Drosophila melanogaster: one gene and its partner. The protein of the gene in region 2 interacts with the protein of the main gene of each other region in a pairwise test. Each region holds a gene or a part of one and is shown on either strand. Other genes may lie near its edges.

What was found. Proteins that work in one complex are often made in the same cells at the same time.
Region 1: the proteins of CG15347 (region 2) and Nazo interact in a two-hybrid assay, tested with the Drosophila melanogaster proteins (one large-scale study listed by BioGRID).

The regions. Positions count from the first base shown.
Region 1 is NT_033777.3:8,282,270-8,292,402, forward strand, and holds Nazo (nazo), read left to right. Parts: upstream 1-5,606; 5' UTR 5,607-5,769; coding exon 5,770-5,971; intron 5,972-6,028; coding exon 6,029-6,249; 3' UTR 6,250-6,344; downstream 6,345-10,133. Other genes in the region: CG11672 (uncharacterized protein), read right to left, coding at 7,495-8,166, 8,229-8,279; CG31464 (uncharacterized protein), read left to right, coding at 8,983-9,030, 9,085-9,735; CG31463 (uncharacterized protein), read left to right, coding at 10,097-10,133.
Region 2 is NC_004354.4:8,454,513-8,465,272, reverse strand, and holds CG15347 (uncharacterized protein), read left to right. Parts: upstream 1-4,374; 5' UTR 4,375-4,449; coding exon 4,450-4,507; intron 4,508-5,890; coding exon 5,891-6,049; intron 6,050-6,103; coding exon 6,104-6,576; 3' UTR 6,577-6,779; downstream 6,780-10,760. Other genes in the region: Sptr (sepiapterin reductase), read left to right, coding at 967-1,752; Es2, read right to left, coding at 2,055-3,208, 3,351-3,702; CG32713 (uncharacterized protein), read left to right, coding at 7,713-8,267.

The DNA of each region.
Region 1 (10,133 bases), on a different chromosome or scaffold from region 2:
AGGAAAGGAGAGAGATTACCTGGCATAGGAAGAGGCAGAGTCCTCTGGAGGTCACCGTTTGTTTTGGGAAGTCCTGGCCCACAAGGTTAGCGGCAATTAGTCAAACGATTCGCAACGCATCTACCATCAATCAACGTAGGGCCATGGGCTCCGGTTACCGATCCTGATCATCATTATCCTCGTCCTCCTCATCGGGAGCAGTAACAAACTTAACCGTTACCCATTTGACAAATAATTCGCACGGCCAACGGCCCAAAAATCTCTGGGTAACTCAATTAGCCACACAGACGATCGGCACGGCACACTTGACTGACTTTCGGTTTCCAAACCCAAGAGTCCAGATTCAGGACCCACCAAGTTGGTGGGCATCCCAAAGAACCAAAGTTCTCAGTATCTCACGCTGCAGCCAACGGTGATCGAAGATCGACAGTGAAAGTGCATCAGAAATCAAAGTCGTTCTGGATTTTTTGACAACTTTTTGGCGAGGCATCAAATTAACACAAGAGGCAAAAACCTTAAAATGCTACCAAGACAAGGCACAGAGCAAACAAAAGGCAGCTAAGTGAATGCATTTTAATTATACTCTACTATTTCAAATTAAATAATGCAATTAAGTCACAAGATAATCCTTGTTACTTTTTATTACCCATAGTCGTACTAAAATAGGTTTCGATTTATGATTTAGATTTGATTTTTTGATTTGTAGCGGTAGAGTATTCCGCATTTGGCAACACAAAAAACTGCTGGCCAGCATTTTTTAACTGAAATTGCCACACGCAAGCCATCGCCATCGCTTTGTCACGTTAAGAGGAGAGTCTGAAGAAGATTTGTCCAGGTCTGCGTCTTCAGGTCGAACAGAGATTACTGGTGCGGGGCCTGTAATTTTGTATTGACATTGGGTCATTTGATACAGTTTTCCAGCTCATTTGCTTGTAATTGGGCACCAAAGTCTCGCCCAGACTCCGCATGGAATCTTCGGAGACTCCCCTCGCGCATTCCCCGCACCAAAAGCCTGGGCTCGGGTTGACGACTTTTCAAATTACCAGTAATATTGTGGAACTTATATATTTATTAATCAGGATTTCGTGTGAAAAATGCGTCCAGAGTGCGTTCAAAGTTGCTGCTTGAGCTCGGCTCAGCAGACAGCAACAAGAACAACATTTTCGGCAGGACCCTTCAATTTAATGTCAACGACGTCGGTGGCGTTGGCATCACTTCATCTCTGGGCCAACTTTGTTGGCCTTTTTTTTCTGGTTGACAGTAGCTTTGATTGAGGATGGAGATGGGGTTGCTTGCCACCTGCATTGACTGGCCTCCGACTCCGCGCTGTTTTTTTTTTTCGATCGACTGTCGCGACCCGGAGTGAGTGAGAACTTAATCCCTTGGCCCCAATTATTCAAGTAATTAAGTATTAATGTGCGAAATTTTATCACCTGCGGCAAGGGGTGAGCCCGATTTGTGCTGGACAAGCCGTGATTTTCCAGCCGATTTGTGTTTAAACGGTCGTGAAAGTGGGGCTTCTCGAACACGATATCGTCGATGAGTTGAGCATTGGAAAAAATGGAATATCTCTGAGGAGATCCATATGCGTCTATTTAAATTGAATTCACATTTAACAAATAATCATGTGTGTTATCCCAACCTCCAATTAATAGAAACTAGGCTTAGTCGAGCTAGAATATTCTCGGAATAACCATAACTTTGATTGATTGCCTATAAAATATCTCGGACTGAACAAGGTGCGCCGCCTCTGGTCGCCCAAGATCTAAAGGATCGTTTCTCGTTCGTGTGCAATTAGCAGATATAATCCGTGTGATTCCACCCAACTAAAATGTCAATAACAATAAATTCCTGGCAGCTAAGCGCCGACAAAACTGGCGATCAAGATAGCAATGTGATCAGCTCATAACTGTCAAGAGGAAATCAATTGATTTGCTCAAAGGACCGGCCCAGCGAAAAGGGATAGGGAAGCCAGAACCGGCAAGGATACTGCGCGGACCCCACAGGACTTGCTTCGCATAATATTTTAGGGGCGTGTTCCGCCTGTCAACATTTTATGTTGGTGGTCAGAGAGTCAAATTGTGGTCGCAACTGACACAGCAGCCCAAGAAAGGCAAACTGCTTGGATGCTGGGAACCGTGCGGGTGTTCCCAGGACAGGTCCTTGAGCGGACAATGGAACAATGGCGAGTCCTTTGTGAAACAAAGGCCCCTACTTACAACACATTATGACACGAAATCGAAAACGAAAACTACTCGGAATGCCAACGGGCATTCAATGGCCCTTCAACGAACTGATTCATTGCTATTGCTCTATTTCTGGGGCTCCTGGCGAGCAGCGGCATGTCCTTGCGACTCCTTTTGATGCTTTCAATTTGCGTGAACCACAACTAATTTTATTGCTTAATTTTTTTTGTGTGCCAGTGGCTTTGCGGCGATTTGTCTAATTGAATTGCGCGATCTGTAAAATTATACATTTGTCTCCTTAGCCAAGTTCATTATTTATTTCTGTATCTTCGATATTGGGGTTTAATGTAAATGAACTTTTTTGTTATCGTTGCCCTTGATTTGCTTTTGTTTTGTTTATGGTCGTTTTGTAAACGATTTGGGAATTTTATACGCTCGACTTGGCGGATAATTTGCCCATCGAAGCGATTTATTATTCAAGATTTATTTGGACAATTTGTTTTTATTTTCGATCATTAAAAAATTATAAGGAGAGTATAAAGTTTGTAATGATTCGAACTACTTTTATTGTATTCTAAAACACTTATTCGAGAAATGTAATCCATATTTTTTGTTTCTCGATATAAAGAATGTACTGAGATAGTTTGTGATCTTCTGTGAACCCTAAAGATCATAAGATTCTTCTAGCATTCTCATAGAGAAACCAATTACCGTGGCGGGCAACTTTCGGAGTTGGCCAGCTGACGCATCGATGTTTTAAAGTGATCCTGCGGCACACGTGTTCATTTGCTGGCATACGCGCGATTTCGGGGCTCAATTCGGATTCGGTAAGCCGAGCCCCGAATGTCTGTGCATCCTTGTCGGCCTCACACCTTCCCCCCAACCCAATACCCAATACGGATTGCCCGTTACTCTCGTCGCGTTCCCCCAGGTGCAACCCTTTCCAGTTCCTTTTTTTTTCTTGGGGGGATCCGCTTGTCCGCTTGCCGAGTCCTTAAAGCCGCTTATCCTGCTGTCGCTGTTCGGGTTTCGGGCTCGGCTGCCTTCCCTGTTCTTCCTGCACTCGTGCTCCGATCGGAAGTCAGTAGTAACTGTTGGGCGAGTGCTCCTGCTTCCTTGAAATTGTCTGCCAGGTCAGAGGCAAGAAAGACCCAACCGTAAACGAAACAGCTACAAAAAGTATAATTTCAACTGAGCGGGGAAACGGACCACGCACTGGAAGAAATTAGATTGTTCTTAGAATAGATACTATGAATATATAGAATATATAATATAATATATTTAGATTATTATATTGGAACCCTTTTGAAAGAACTGTCAAAATTCTATAGACGTGGGCAATTGTTTTGGAATTCGACAAACTCGTTAAGCTTCCTGAAAACTCAAAACTCATTAGTTGTAGTTAAAATATTGCAATCTGTTTATCAGAGATCTGGAATTATTTCAACGTTCTGTATACTACAAAATGCTATTATTTGGTCGATATAAGAAAGTTTTTACTCTCAAACAGCATGGAATATTTTTTCTAAGTGTTGGGGCGAAGGAGCGTGGGCAACCCAATTTCCAAAGTCAAAAGTGGCACCAGATGACGGCGTGCGTCGTCCGTTTGTTCTGTTCCAAGGAGCGGGCTAGAAAGGGACAGGACGAGAGGTCCTGCTGGAGGAATGAGGGGAGGAGGAGGAAAAGACCGGCCAAAGATGGCATATGTTGCGCCTTGGCTCTATCTCGCTTTGGCCAATGCCCCGCAGTGGGTCCTTTTCGCTGGCTTTCACTCGCACGCCACGCGGCTCGTCCTGCAGACAGCCAGCAACAATAACGATTATTCGGCATTGTGTGAGCAAGACACGCCATTTGGTCGCAGGCGGAAACCTCGATCCTTCAACCTCAAGCATCCCATATTTATATGTACATAGTAGACAACTGCTAGCTAGCTAGCTCCCAGCAGCTAAGAGCGATCCGCTCTTGATTCAGTTACAGTTACCCAAAAGTTCAGCAGTAGCACTTGGAAGCCCACGCAATTAAAGGTGCATCAATCAAAATTAAAGACAATCCGGCAGCGATTTTTAAACGCCATCTAGGCACGTCAGCCGAATTCTGAAAGAAGACGGCCCTTTGATATGCGAATCTTCCGACATGTGTGCATGACAATATCACTTGTGCCAATATGGCTCAAGGTAAAGACTATTAAATTCAAATTAATGCTTAAATCCTGACAAGCAATCGCCAAATATAAACGAACTCCTCTGAATTGTGCTAAAACTCAAACAAAAAGGAATGTGTTCACAATAATAATAGGAAAAATTTTATTTAAAATATTAAAAATGCATAGATTTCTTTAAAAATATATGTAGGATGTTTATTGTTTAGCACAATTGTTTATCTTATTAATATTTTATAGAAGTATAGTTTGCTTATTATATTAGGTATTTAATAAAAAGATGACTCGTGCCAACACTTCTTGATCTCCGGGCATACGACGACTACACAACTTTTCCTTACTCCGGACACGACAACTTTCGGCTTTAAGATCTTTTTTTAATTACACAACCTTCAACTCGCTTTGTTCTACTTCTACTTTAAGCTTGTCCTATTTTCTTACCTTTGCTACCCTTTGCGAAGATTATCGATCATCGCATATCGATAACTATTGTTACATACATATTATTTTGTTTATTAGTACATGTATTAAAATATGGTATTTTTAAAGTTTGGCCAAACGTTTATTTCTATTGATACCATTGGCTGGTAAAAAAGTCTGATAACAAGTTTGGTTCGCGTTAGAACCCATAATTCGTCAGGCAGAAAACTTGTTAAAATGGTGAATCTTGACTTAGAAATGATTTTGGAGACTCTCCTGAACGCGGCGAGGAGGAAAAGGGAAAGGGAACACCTTGAAGGTTCTTCGGAAGGTAAGTTCCGCCAACGGCATATAAACATAAACATAAACATAAACGGTCAACTTACAGAAGGCGAGTATAAAACACTAAACGATTACCTACCTATCATATCAATTGTATTTGAAATGTAGGAGTTATCTACTGGATGTATGAGAAAATTGCGGATTTGACCTTGAGGGTCCTGGCAGAATTGGTTGACTTTGTGAAGGCAGCTATTATAAAAATAGTTGGTGTCGCTACAAATGCTGTGGAGTGTTTCAAGCGTGATTTTACAGTGCAATGTGCCGCATTGGAAGCCTTTGTGGTATTTTTAACCAGTAATTTGGGATTTCAACTGGAAATGTAATTATTCATGCGGTTCAAAAAATTCCATTCCATGCCTGCTAAATCATTGGATGCACTGCCATAAGATTATGATTTCTTTATACTTGGGTTCTGATATCGGGTACTCCTAAAAAAAAGCTTTCAATCTACATATGTACATATGCGAAGCTTGATTGCAATGATAGATTAAAATTGATTTCGATGATTTGGTTTGTATCGAGTAACTCCCCTCCACAGTGGCGGATATACAATTATTGCACTACTGATAACGAAATAACAACGTGATTGTACTCAGTTGTTAGAAAGATCGTCACCGGGAAAGAAGTAAAACTTTGTAACGGAAATATACATAAATTGAAAATATGGATTCAGCCATCTCAGAGATAATCAATGCCCTGGCTATACTGGCCGACGATAAAAATATCCAGTTGACCATCAAGGAGGCCGGCAAGGGAGCTGCAATTTGTGCTGGCGCTGCGCTGATCGGAGGACTACTGCTGGGCCCCCGGGGACTGGCACTGGGCGGGGCCATCGGTGGTCTCACCGCCTACGGACTTACGGAGGGCAAGAGTGTCTAGCGTTACATGGTGACTATCATTCTTATCAGTCTTTTAATTCCAGGAAATTTCAAATCTCTAAGTGAGGTCATTTTGAACGATTTGACGGAGAGTCAGCGTCGAGAACTGGAGCAGCACGTGATCAGGGCCATATCCGAAGTTAGAAATGTACGCGTTCGAGATGTCGCAAGACTAATACTAAATAACCGGCATGTGCAAGAGGTTGCACTCGAAGCAGTCAAGTCCTATATCACTGATCGTATGGGAATGACCATCGTTGATTAGGCATTAATAGAAATATTTTTTAAACTATATTTCTCGATGATTAATGCTATAACACAGAATTTTGCCTGCAACATAAATAAATTGTTGGCGCACTGAATGATTTTATTTTAAAATCTATAGTAAAAACCATTTCAGCTTATAATTTAATAGTCAGTGACTAGCCTTTTCGATGTGCCAGATGTAAAAAGATTGTTTTGCTCAGAGCTCGGCTTTCAATAGACAAGAGTCGCGCGATCTACGTCATCAAAATCCGTCAGATGTCTGGAGGAGCTGAACAGATGTTGGAGTAGGCGGAATTTGTGCAGCTACACTACCAAGGCGATCATCAGCAGGGCAACAACTGTTACAAGCAGTAAAAATAAGATAAAATTCAGAGACTCTTAGTGAAATTGCGGCAAGAGCCGAAATAAAGAGTCGTAGAAATTTCGTTGCTGCACTGTGAACGACGAGAGAGATGTGTGATGCGATGCTTTGGTGTATCTCACGGATGCACAGATACTCGCTTCGGATATTCGCTCAGTGTGCGGTAGGCAGGTCAAAATAATTTTGCTTACTGCGGAAGCGAGAGGAAGAGGAAAAAAACTGGCTGATCTCGATCTCGATCTCCGTCTCTATCTCTTTCTAGGGCCAGCTGTCGCCCATTTGGATCGGATCCGTATGCTACTATATCTTATATCGTGTGGCTGCCACGTGTCGTGGGCAAGTCCATTGGGCAATTGGTCAGTTTAGCCGAACAATGGCCAATTAGTATGCATGCGACTTTGAAAAGTGAACTTGCGATTAGCCACAAAGTTGCCCAATATACATATGTACATATGTATATATATGCAATTACAGAGCAACCTCTCTAAGTCGAATCAAACTGAAATGAGATCTTGATACTAAGTAGTAATTTACTTCACTATTTATTGATCATTTTAAAATGTGTAAATTCCTTGGTTTAACACACGCCTCTTAGCGTTTTATAAGAACATAGTGATTTGAAATTGATTTTATTTCAATTCCAAGCCAGACTTTAAAAAGGCTTCACTGTGCCTGCAAATATGCTGATAGCTGTACCAGATCGACTGCAGCAGCTGTAAAATCAATCAAAAACTTGTCAAATAAATGTCATGCATAAGCAATAAGTGAACAGGATGTGGCGAGTCCTCGGCCCCTGTCATCTTGCGGGTGCATAAATTTGCCATTGGCTGTTTTTGCCTGGGTTCTCTCTTAGGACTATTGCTTACGGGAAGGGTCGGTCCACTATGATTGCCGGCACTGATCCTGCTCCTCGCGCAGATAGTCGCCGATGTGCTGCACCACCATGGCACTGCACAGCTGAGCCTGCACCACTTGATCCTCGGCGGTCTGGTGGGTCTGCACCAGGATTAGGGATGCATTGTGCATGGATTGGGCCATCCCCAGATTGATTTCCGCCATCGCGTTAATGAAACAGACACTTCCGCCAGCTGAAGCTAGAGGATTAAGCGGGGAAGCCCCCAGCAATTGGCACTTGGCCGGCAAGTGGGCAATCTGCTGTACGAATTCCTGTACTCTGGCCAAAGCCAGTTGACTCTCCAGACGGAAGTCTTCCAAAAGGCTTCCCAAGTCTTCCGTACACCCACCCAGCTGATGGGTCACATTTTCATTGAGCTCATCCAGGCTCCAGGCTGGGTTGCAATCGGGATTGGACACCACTAACTGGTTTGTCTCATAGATCACATCACTTAGTTCGGCCATAGCATTGGCGGTCAGGACCTCAATGTTACCGGCAATATTTTGCCGAGTGCGATTTATTTTCTCCTCCAACTGAATGGAGGTGTCGTCGCTGACACTTACGGCAATCTCTGCCAGATTGTCCACAACCATGGTAACAGGTCCATAGTTTGTAGTCTCTGTCTCCATCTTTGTTTCATAGCCGACTTCTTGGCAGTCCTGAAATAAAGGAGCATATGAATTTGAAAAGTACTATAAATGGAAAGTTACTATTAACTCACTGCCAAAGTCAGCAAAAGCAGAGCAAGTACTCCCAGAGTTTGACTCATCATCTTTCTGTTATATTTCCTAGTGCGACTGGCCCTACACTTGACTTCTTATATATGTCAAGAGATCCAGTGTCACGATAAGAGTGTGTCTCATAGCAATCACTACGAAACACAATTTGAGCATTAACTTGATGAACTGAGATGATGTTTTAGTACATGAACTTGGTATACTATTCAAAGTATTCTATTTGGTCATCGTATTTTTCGTAAATTTTCGTAATTTCTTTTTGTAAATTTCTCACCTTCGTTGAATAATGGAGGGATCAATTATACTTTTATTTGTAAAAGGGGAGATATTTACAGTTCAAGTTTGCTAAAGAAAGCTGAGGTTGATGACTAACTTGAAGCATATAGTCGTTACACAGTCATCATGCGATAAGAATCTTTCTTATAAACATTATAAGACACAAATGAGCCATTTGTCTAATTCAGAACTTAATTTAAGTTTTGTTCGGAACTTAAATACCCTAAAGTTTCATATTGATCACATATGACATGGGTATTTTTAGCAACTTACGCTGTTAAATTTTTCGGTATCCCAATATTTTCTTTATAAACAATAACAATTTTTGTTAAAGCGTTAAAACTCTTTCCCAAAAAAGAATTTAATTCTTAGTCTTAGTTAATTAAGGCAACCTTTGGCGATCTATAAATAAAAGGTATGGTATCTTCAATTTTTCGGGAATCAATTCGATTTAGTTTCAAGATGACAACAGTACGGGTGTCACTGCTTTTACTTCAGTCGCTTCTTTGTGTATGAAATAGCATTATTTGTGTAAAGTATAATATTAAAGAAAAGATCTTACAGGTGCATGGCCACTTTCAAAGAATTTGGGGACAAAATGGACCACTCTATGAGTCCACAAAGCAGCTTATAGCCAGCCAAAGCTCCAGTGCAGCCAGGATCTGGAACGTCACCCAACAGGCCCTCGATCAGAAGTTGGAGTATCTTCAAGAAGCCAAGGACACACTGGATGACCATCAGCAAGTGGTTAGTGGACGCTTGGAGATGTTTTTTGGAAGCCAGTACAGCGATGAGTGGCGGGCATGCTCAAAGAAGTACGAACTCCAGGTGGCACACTTCAATCGAGAGCTGGTGGACAAGTACAGTATCTGCAGGAATTCTCTGGACCACATCATGGATCATTTTCAGGAGGAAATCGTGCTGGAGGCTAATTTTCTGAGTAAGGCTTCGCGGGAGATCAGTGAGTTGTCAAACACCTGCAGAATCTGGCAGCTTAAGCAGTCTGGTTTCAATCACGCCGGAGTTTTATTATGCACTGTCGCTGGAATCGGGAGGATCAATCAGCGGATGATCAGCAGTCTGGAGCTGTGCGATGCAATTGTGCTGGAGATGTCCTTGGAAGACCTGGACACACCAAGTTGCCTCTTCTACCATCATCTGAAGATGGATTTCGATGACCTCTTTACGCAGATTGAGTCGTGTGCGATAAACTAGAAAGAATGTAATAAAGTCAAATGCACTATTAACTGTGGTCTGGTGTCGACTTGAAAATATTAATTACTTACATCAACTTTTACCTAATATTTATGAGCATAGTTATCTTTAATCGTTATCAGTTCGACCATTCATAAAAAGCCAAATAGAAATTTAAATTTTCTCTCGAAAAACATTGCCCCGTGGTGGTTTATATATAGCGTAATATTGGCGATAAGCCGGATAAGCCTAATCAACCTGCGCCACTTAAGAAAAACCAAGTGTGGTATCTTCGATAGTGTTTTACGAGCCATACTTCTTCCGATAATGAAGCTGGTCAAAATCCCTCCCTCAGTTGTACTGAAACAGTTGCCCGGGCAAAATGATTGGAAAAGCATTGCTTCTGCTGGGCTGTGTGC
Region 2 (10,760 bases):
CATCTATATGTATACATATGTATGTACCCACTAATTGGAATGGCCGTGGCTGATGAAAAGCAGACGCACCCGGTTAATCGGGCTGTTTCACTTTGATCGGTCCAGTTTTCTCGGCTTCCCCGGATCTCCATCTCCGCTGGTCCCACATTCCGGGCTCCAATGGCCAACAGACGCCATTTTCGACCGCCCATCTCACTCCCTCTTGTGGCGGAGGTGGTGGCCGCCGCTACACTGAGCGCAAATGCTAATTCAAATTTTGTAAGAAAAATCAATATAAATTTAATGACAATTTGCGAGCTTGAACTTTATAACAAAGTTGCAGAGCTTTCGAGAGAAGATTACTCGAGTTAACTCTTTAAGATGCTGACCTTGACATTGACATTCGATCACACATTATATATATAATATATTAGTTGGGTTCTTTCCAAAAGGACCATAAGTTTTGATATATAGTGTAGTATTATATAGTAGCGGTTAATAAAACATAGGCAATTAATTAAATTAAATCGTTAAGCAAGAGCCGGCGATAACCTTTCGCATCGAGTGAAGCTTAAACCGTGAGAGAAATGTGCGAATCGAGAGCACAAAAAGCGGGGAGAGCGGGAGACATGGGCGGGTATATTGGGGGGCTAAAATTTCCAAAAATAATAATTAATTGTTTCTACAAATACTAATACCTTTAAATGAATAAACGAAATGAATAACCTGGTCATCGCTAAAAGTTTACTATGATACTATTTAATGGGTATCAAAAACTACACTACTTATATTACCCCCTTTTAGAAAGTAGTTTTGCTTACGCTCCTGGTCATAAAAATAAAAGCACCAAGCTTTAGTCAGCTGTGCAAAAGCTGCCGGAGAATCAGGTAAAAGCCAAAGCGAGTTAAGGCAAAAAGACAGCCAACTGTTGCCACTTCAGCGGTGTGGAAATTAGAAAGTAATATAGTCCGTGTTTTTCACGCAATCATGGACCTGAAACAGCGCACATATCTCCTGGTGACCGGTGCATCACGTGGAATTGGCCGTGAGTTCGCCCAGCAGTTAGCCAAACGGATCAAAGCCGAGGGTTCCATGGTGACGCTTCTGGGACGCAATCAAACCCTTTTGCAGGAGTCTAAGGCAGAGATTGTCGCCACAGTGCCAGATCTATCCGTGCAAACCTATTCGCTGGAGCTGGAAACGGCCAAAACGGAGGACTTTACCAAGATTCTGGAGGCATCCGGTGGAAAGAACAATTTCGAGCGAGCCATAGTCATTCATAATGCCGGCACAGTGGGCGATACGTCAAAGAGGGCCAAAGAAATCGGAGATACCGACTTCCTACAGCGCTACTACCACTCCAATGTCTTCTCGGCCATTTCGCTAAACTGCGAGTTTATGCGCGTCTTCAAGGGAATCCCAAAGTTGGTGGTTAATCTCAGCACCTTGGCAGCCATTGCACCTATATCCTCGATGGCACACTATTGCACGGTGAAGGCAGCCCGTGAGATGTACTTCCGAGTGCTGGCCACCGAGGAGTCCGCCGAGGACACCCTGGTGTTGAACTACGCGCCCGGCGTCATAGACACACAGATGACCGTCCAGGTTCAGCGAGAGGCCCACGATCCCGCCGTGGTCGCCATGTTTCGAGAGCAAAGGGAGTCCAAGACCATGCTGACTCCCGCCCAAACGACGGAGCGATTCATCAAAGTCCTGGAAGCATTCAAGTTCAAGTCCGGCGATCATGTGGATTACAGGGATGAGCAGTTCTAGCTAGTTAATCAGTATGTTGCTATCTGTGGTAATGGGGTTTTTCGTATTGAAACATTAAAATGAAACTAAAAATGTGCGCAAGTGTTTTTGCTACAACACCCAATACATCTTAATGAACTTCAAAGCTGATAAGATATGTGTATGATGTTTATGATTTACGCATTCTTAAATCTTCTTTCCAACAACTCGGCATCTATTTATAAGAAATATACAATTCGTAACAACACTGTGGGACTATGTATAGTATTCTCTAATGAAATTAAACATGAATAATGTAGCTGGGTTATGGGTAATGTTATGTACTAAAAGAAATCGGCTGCAGTGCGTCGTTTAGTGGGTATCTTGAGCAGATCGTCCGTGAGCGTGGATCCCGTATCAATGGTAACGTTCTTAGCCGGAGTGCTAATCTTGGCCTGCTGTTTGGGTTTGGGTTCACCCAGTATTGGCGTATTGGTGCTCCTCACCACGCCGGGCGTAACCTTTCGTTTTCTGCCGCTCATCGGCGATGGTGTGTGCCTTAATCGGGGCGTGCCGCGGATACCCAGCTTACCCGTGGCCAGTAGCTGCGCTGCCGGCGACATGCTGGCCAGCCGTTCCATATTGGTGCGTATCAGTGGTGAGCCAATGTTACGACGCGCCGTATCCAGAGCCATTTGTTTTTGATTTCGCATCCTTTCGCTGACCCTTTCGGCCAAAGCGATGGCGATGTTTTCGCGCCGAGAGTTCTCATTAATCCGGAACGAGGGTCCTTGTGTGGGCCGCAATGGGGTATCGCCTCCGTCCAGGCGAAAGGGAGTGCCATCGATCTCACCCCAGGTCATTATGGGCGAGAAAGCCTCTCCGGGTCGCGGTGATGGTGAACGCAACAAATCGAAGCCGCGTACCTTCGGAGTAGCTGTGGCACCACCAGCCCCATTTTGGGGCACTTCATCATTCAGCTTTTTAGTGTCCATTTCGCGATGCTTTGCCTCATCGGGCAGCCTGGTGGCATTGTGTTGGATGCTCTGCTTCCGTTCGGCCAACTGGACGCGCTCCTCCTCTGTGTACTCCACGCCATCGGGCACGTACATAATGGAATTCATGTTGGTGTAGTTCCAGGTTTCGATCTTTCTCAGCGGATCTGGCTCCTCGAATTGCGTTTCTATGCTGGGCAGCATTAGGGCCCGCTGCAGTTGCTCTGCGGAGAGCTTCTCATGGTTGTACAGTACTGCGTATTTTTGGCGCAGCTTGGCCTCGGCCGTTTCGATGATCTCCTGAAAGCTCTGGTTATCCTCGCTGGTGTACTTCTGCAGAAAGGCGTCCAGCGATAGCTTCGCGGTGGTGTCCCTGCCCTCGGCATCGCTCTTCTCGGAGCCGTCCGTGGAAAATGGTGTGTCTGTGGCCCGGGAATTTGGCAATGGGGTGTTGCTACATTTCGCCTGACTCACTGGTGTCTCAAATGTGGCCGGGGACATGGCTGAAATGAAGGAATTCAAAAAGTTAATGGGTCTATCTATTGAACTTGGCCAATGTATAATTTCATCAGACTTGATTTCAAGTAAGATAGTAGCAGACAGCGATGTGCCAGTGGTGTTCATCCAATTGAGTACAATACCCACCATTATTCCGTCGGCTGGTGCTTCTTCCTGTCCCGGAAATCCTGCCCAGACTGTAGCGCTCCCGAATCTCGGCCATTTGTACAAAGTCGCGCCGTGACTCCGCGTCCAGGTAGTCGTTTTGGGCACGCAGCCGCTCCAGATCGGGAAAGAAGTCGCGCTGGATGATCTTAGACATCTCCTCGATGTACTTCTCCTCGGTAAGGATCTTTGGCTTGTTCTTGTGGCGCACCATCGCCGTGGGCTTTTTAAACTCGGCGAGTGCTGAATTCTGGACGCGGGCCACTTCCATGGCCAGGCTGCCGGGAGTGCCAGGTGTCCCCGGTGTGGCAGGTGTTCTAGTCGTGGCGCTCATTGCCGTTTATATCTCGCTTTTTTCGTAAATAACTTTGTTTTGTTTAGATATAAAAAGTGAATATTTTTGTCTGCCAGCAAAGTGTGACCGTTTTAAGTTTCACTCAGAATAACAAAACGTCGGTTCAAAATATTTCCCTGTATTTTTTTTTAATTCTCGGATGTAAAAGGTGAAATTAATCAGCTTAAAAGTTTCGACTTCCTTTACAATAAATTGGTGAGTATGAACCAATTTAAATTTAAATAGAAACAAAATGATATTTTGCTAAACTATATTAATTAAAAACTCTGGCAAGGAGTACTTATCGACGTGTTATCGATAAGTGTGGAACGCATTCAAATGCGCGCTAGCATTTGAATTGAAATTTTAATGCGATTAGCTAGCACTTGAAAATGAAATTTATTACGATTTTGCAAACATTAAAGATATATTTTTAAAACATCTGGAAGTTTCGCAAGTGCGCTGACTAACCCGCTGAACATAATTTATGAAAATGAATGTATGCCAAAGAGCGACAACTTTAGCGTCGTGAATCATTTCAAAACACTTTTTTTTCTCAACTCACCAATAGAATTACTGTTGTCGTGGTGCCTTATCGTAAAGCTGTAGGTATATATGAATAGGGTATAAAGCTCGGCAAAACTCAAATCACTCATTGAACCTTTTCTACTCCCTTAGTTCTGGTTCAGCTCCGTAACCAGTCGCAACATTCGATCGTCGTGAAATTAGTTACATCAGTTATCAGCCATGAAGTTTTACCTGTTGGTGATTGCAGCCCTCTCGTTTTTGGCCTACATCAGTTGTGGTAAATGTTGTACCTGCCTAAATGTTGTTCCAAAATAAGTTTCACTTTTAATTTTCATCGGGATCGTATTTTTTTTTTTTTAATTTTCTTTTTGCTCTTTGAATTGAAAAACTTATTGAGTGTTTTATATAAGGTGTGATAAGCGGTGATATCATGGACACGGAAATAAATTCATGATAAGCTATCAATAGGCGAGTTTCCAAAGAAACTTTTAAAGGTTCTTAGCTTTGTAACTGGGCAAACATATTCTTTTTTTTCTAAGTGTGAGTGAGCCAGCAAAAAGATGTGAAAATTGTACGCCATATATTTAAACCATGTGTACATACAGCTGTGTTCAAAAAAATAGCAGTGCAAGAGAAACTAAGAAATGCGACGGTTTTTTTTTCATGTTTCGGGATCGAATTTTTATTCCACTTATTTTTGTGAATTGGAATGTGTAGATAGGGAAAAAAAGAAAATGTCGTTAGTTTTCTATGCTATCCTTTTTTTTATTTACATTCTTGAGCAAAATCACAACTTTTAGGCTGTTCAACAGAATAGCAGTGTCTGGTTTTGACCAACGTAAACTCCCGAAATGATCAATATTTTCTAAAAAGTGAGTTTGAATTTGAATTTGAATTTGTATATTTAAAAGGGCAATAAATTAAAAAAATAAAAAATAAAGAAACGCAGAAGCAAATCGGCTAAGAATAAGTTCGTTCTAAGTCAAGTTGAATTTTGTTACTATTTTTTCATAGCACTGCTATTTCTGCTTGTTTTAATCTATATTTTCGAAACTATTAAAAAAATGAATGTGAAACATTTGTTGAATTGTTTAAAATTAAATACCTAATGATATTATAAAAAAAATTTTCCCATTAAAACTTGAAATCTTAAGATTTTTTTATTTTAAACTCAAGCACTGCTATTTTTATGAACACAGCTGTATGTCAGCGGTAATTTAATTTCTCTTTGTGATGAAGTACATAGTTATTCCGTTTCATTATTAAAGTTGAAACATAATCTCGTACATTCGTACTTTCATGTAAACACTTGGTAAATATTTAATATTTACTGCCACCTGATATGCTAAATATAATTTGCTTGCAAGCTTTCGATTTATAGCCAATGTAAATTGACTCTTCTTATCAAAAACATACAAGTTTGCTGATTCACTTGTCATGGGCATGTTCGTAAGAATCGATTGTGGAAAATCGAGACAATTGCCATCCGAGTACAGTGCGCGTCATTGTAATAAGGCATGCAGGTAGATACATAAAAAGAAATAATCAAACACATTCAAACACATATGCACTGTGGTAGGTAGGCAGACTTTGCACGAAATCAATATGATGTCATTATGCCAACGCAACGATTACGAAAAACTTGATCTAATCTAATCAGGCATGACTCAATCGAAACGCTCCGTTCCACTCGCTCAATTTGCAGATGGATGCATCCAGTGCAATTCGAAGGACAACGAACGCTGCGCCACAGATCCATTGAGCCTGCTCAATCGCAACTGTTCCGATGGATCCTCCAACTGCTATTCCCGCGTCCTGGGTATGTTATCGCATTGATTACCCTGGCTGCACCATCTAATGGTATCTTTCGCAGATGGCTACACAATTCGCGGCTGTGCCGTCGATCTGGACAACGCCACGCGTAATTCGTGCAACAACGAGCTACTGTGCCAGCTGTGCACCTACAGCGAGGGATGCAATCGAAACACCTTCCCGTTGAGCCGCCTCATGTGCCTACAGTGCACAGGGAACTCGACCTCGTCGTCCTGCGCCACAGAGACCTATGTATCGGCCAAGATCTGCCCGCTGTACAAGTTCGGCGACAAGTGCTACATTCGCAATAGCAATCGCACCGTGGACGGATCCTTCCAGCGCGGCTGTCTCACCTCGGCGAATGCCAGGAAGCAGTGCGTCAAGGATGGCAACTGTTATACGTGCGAGGGACGCGGCTGCAACTTTCTGCTGGCCAATGATACCAACATTCCGCTGGCACGCGACAGCGGTGCCCAGTTGATCATCTCCATGACGCTGCTGATCAGCGGTCTTGTCGCCGCCTGGAGACTCTAAGATGTAACGACGGCCAGAGTCGAATGATGGACGAAAGTCAATCATGCCACAGACCCAGTTCTTTTAGAAATTCCCGTCTTATTATTTTCTACATTCTAAAACATCATTATACATACATACATACACTGGGATGTTACATTTATACTCGTTTATTTCATTACTTTGAACAAAACGTTAATAAAGATAACTAAACTAAAGAAGACAAAAATAGAAATGGTTTAGTTATTACATTTTGGGATTGGGGGATAACCAAAACGTTGCTCACTTTGAACAGTTCTTCATCGTAATGTTTTTTGAAGCAAAAGTAAGCATAAAACTTTAATGCATAAACACAGTGAACACACATTTCACTTTTTACGAGGTGTCAACGGGTTGGCACTGCAGTTGACAACATGCCACTGTGTTTATGAAGTCCCGATTTCAATTGCGATACCCTATACCTCTATTCCTCGATTCCGATCCCAGACCAAGAGAAATCGACGACGAGCCGCAAGTACCGGAGTGGCAGTTGGAAAACCGGAAGCTCTCGGCGCAAATGAGGAGTGCATAAATGTGTCGACGCCTCCGAATGTTTGTCAATTACTTTTCACGGCTCGCTTTTCCGGATGCCATTTTCCATTCGATCGAACTGGATGTGCGGAAATAGATCAGTTTTGTGCATGGTACTCGGCTCCAGCGATTTGTTAACTAAACTAACTATTTATAGGCAACATACGTACGTGGAAATATATATACATATGTACTGTGCGGGTTTTTAAATGCAAGTTATAATATTAGTCAATTTGATTTAAATGCTTTTTTCTTGTTCCAATTAGGTAGTCAAATTCATTTCGCTAGAACTTCGTTGCCATCAACTTTCTGATAGCTTGTACTTGATTTTCTTCGATTTTGTTTATGAAATTCGATTGGAGAATCAACAAATGTTGATTAGGCTATAAGGTAATCCAAGGATGCCATGAAATTTTACTCGCACTGGCATTCGCATGACGACGACAGTTTTACACAAGGGGTTCCAGAAGCAAACTTCTATCCGAACAAAGCAGACTACACCTGGAGACACAGAGCTTGTGTATAAAATCTAAAATTATCTATATATATATATATATATATATATATATATAAATTCGGGCATCAGGATGCGGAAGGTCCAAGTTTTGGTTCAGACGCGCGACGGCAAGAAGACCGTCTACGAGGTGGATCGCTTAGGAACGGTGGCCAGCCTGAAGGCACGGATCGGGCAAGTCATGTCCGTGCCCATGGGCTTCAGTCGGCTGTCGTACAAGGGTCGCGTGCTATCCAATCAGAGCGTACTGGAGGATTTGGGGCCCAATAAGTCCACCCTGGATCTCACCTGGAAGCCGGTCGTCCTGACGGCCAATCAGAGCAGCAAGTTAAGCAAGTTCGGCTATGGCAGGATAGACGATAGTGAAGTTATGTTTACACTGATCGGTGGCTATCAGCAACGCGAAGAATATCCTGGTGGCCTAGTCAATCCACCGGACGACGAAAGTCAACTAAACTTCAACGCAGGTGACGATGATGATGCACTGGAGGCCCAGGACATGACTGGACACGATTTGTCCTCAATTCAAACCGATGATTTATCGCTCAAAGGCCAGACGGAACCGGAGCTGGATTGCTCCATTGGATCTCATGGATTCTCTGGATCTCAAGAAGAAGGCCACGAATAACGACAATGAGAAGTAGACTGTTGTAAATTATCTTAAATTAAAAATATTTAGTCGTCATTTAATTTCGAAATTCCTTTAAGCCAAACGCTTCGATTTGGAATCTAAATTTACGATACAATAATAAACCTTTAGTCGATTTCGTCCATGATGGAAATTTTACAACAAATGCATTACACTCATTTATATATAATATTTATATAATCGATAAAAAAGATCGAATATCGAATTTATGAATCATTTAAGTAATTTCTTCGAAGCAGTTAGCATTTCATTTCCAATTGTTTACACTCAAACAAATAATTAACGACTAAAATGGCATGGCCAATGCCATAACAATTTTTCAAATTTATGTATTATTTATGGACTGCATGGTACGATCTGCTGCGATCGAAATGCTTCTGAAAATGCCAAAAAAAAGGGGAAAAAAAATTAACTCAAAATAATTGTAAACAGTAGTGCGGCAAACGAAAATCAGGGAAAAACATTAACAAGCAGTTGTTCCATAAATCCAGGACGCAACTGGATGCGTAGATTTATATGGAAGGGGTGAGTAGGAGGGAGGGTAAACAAATCGATTCACTTGGAGACCCCGTGTGCCAGGTAACATATACTACTACATGCTATATATAATAGATATACCATCTATATGTATACATATGTATGTACCCACTAATTGGAATGGCCGTGGCTGATGAAAAGCAGACGCACCCGGTTAATCGGGCTGTTTCACTTTGATCGGTCCAGTTTTCTCGGCTTCCCCGGATCTCCATCTCCGCTGGGCCCACATTCCGGGCTCCAATGGCCAACAGACGCCATTTTCGACCGCCCATCTCACTCCCTCTTGTGGCGGAGGTGGTGGCCGCCGCTACACTGAGCGCAAATGTTGCTCACAGCTAATTCAAATTTCGTATGAAAAATTAGCAGTAATCCTTTTTTTTATGTATTAAGTATTAATTCATATTCTCTTCGTATTTCTTATGTTTAATGCAATTTTTTCCAAAAACTTATGATTATTCCAAATGAATTGAATTTTTTGGGTGCGCCTTGCCAACGTCTTAATATTCCGTTTTCCTTTTTACGGTTTATTTAGTGTCGAGGTTATGGCGCAATTTGTATTTATGGCCAACAGCAGCAGCAACATCTCGGCTGCACTGCAGCATTGAGCGGAGCACCGCGAGATCCACGAGCAACCAGCACCACCATGCGTGCGGCAGTCCAATTAAAAGCGTTTTCCAAATGAGGCCCATGACTCTGGTCGGCCACCCACTCCACGGGCCACGCCCACTGATCAGCGCGCCCCCCTGAAAAAAAAGAGAATGAAGAAAACAATATGCAAAAGTGGGGATCACCTGCTCCTCCTCCTTCTTGATCTTCTCCACCGCCTGCTGTTTATGGTCAAAGACCACGCCCCTTCAAAAAAAAAAAAAAAAACAAGAGAGAAGTAAACAGTGGAGCAGAAATTAGTGAAACGTGTGGAGAGTACAGTGATCTATATACTCTAAAGGATACCTCTATACTATTTACATGCATTAAGTTATTAATATGATCAAATTAGATTACATAAATATAACTATGTTAAGCATAGTTTGCATAAAACCAAACAAAGAGTTGCAGATAGCAAACCCCAAGTGTTCACCAAGTTCTAGGCCTCACTGTAGCCACATCTGGTAAATGCCTTGCGCGCACCCTACGCTCAATTCTGCGCGGCATATTCATCCACTTGATACTAGGCTAGATCCCAGGCGAGCCAACACATGTCGGTGCGATCCAAGGAGGAGTAGAAGGAGGAGAAGGAGAAGGAGGAGGAGGAGGAGATGGAGGAGGAGGAGGTGGCCGTGCGGCCATTGGTGGATCGATTGGTGCGGCTGGCGAGTCTAAATTTGGATGCTGCGGCCGGCGATTGGCGGATAGATTTCTCGATTTGGGGAGATGGTCCGTACAATGCGGCATCTTGGGATCTCGAGAGGCAGCGATGCATCTGCCCAGCAGCAGCAGCAGCAGCAGCCGCAGCAGTAGTTGTTCTCATTCGGCGGACCAGCGCTTGACGGAACGGATGTGTGCGTGATCAGAGATCTAGGCATCCAGAGATCGCATTCGAAATCAGATCAGATCGATATATCCGCGAGATATAAACATAGGATACTATACGGGATAATCAGTTCGCACTTGGCCGGAAGAAGGTGGCAATTGAGACAACTCAACGCTTTCTGCCAGTCGAATTAGAAAGAAAACAAATAAAAGAAGTTCAAGTCAATCAATCAGCTAACACAGGGAATTAAAAACAAAAAACAAAAAAACAAAAAACAAAAAACTACAATCGGGCAAATTTTCGCCAGTCAACGCGATCGGGCCATAAAAACAATTCGAAGAGAATTAATTTGATTTTTCATTCGATTCTTGAACTCGATCTCGATTCTGATTGACAACAGCGAAAGGTTGGCGTTGGATTTTCGCACCACTACATACTTTTTTTTTGCAGTGCACAGTGAGTGA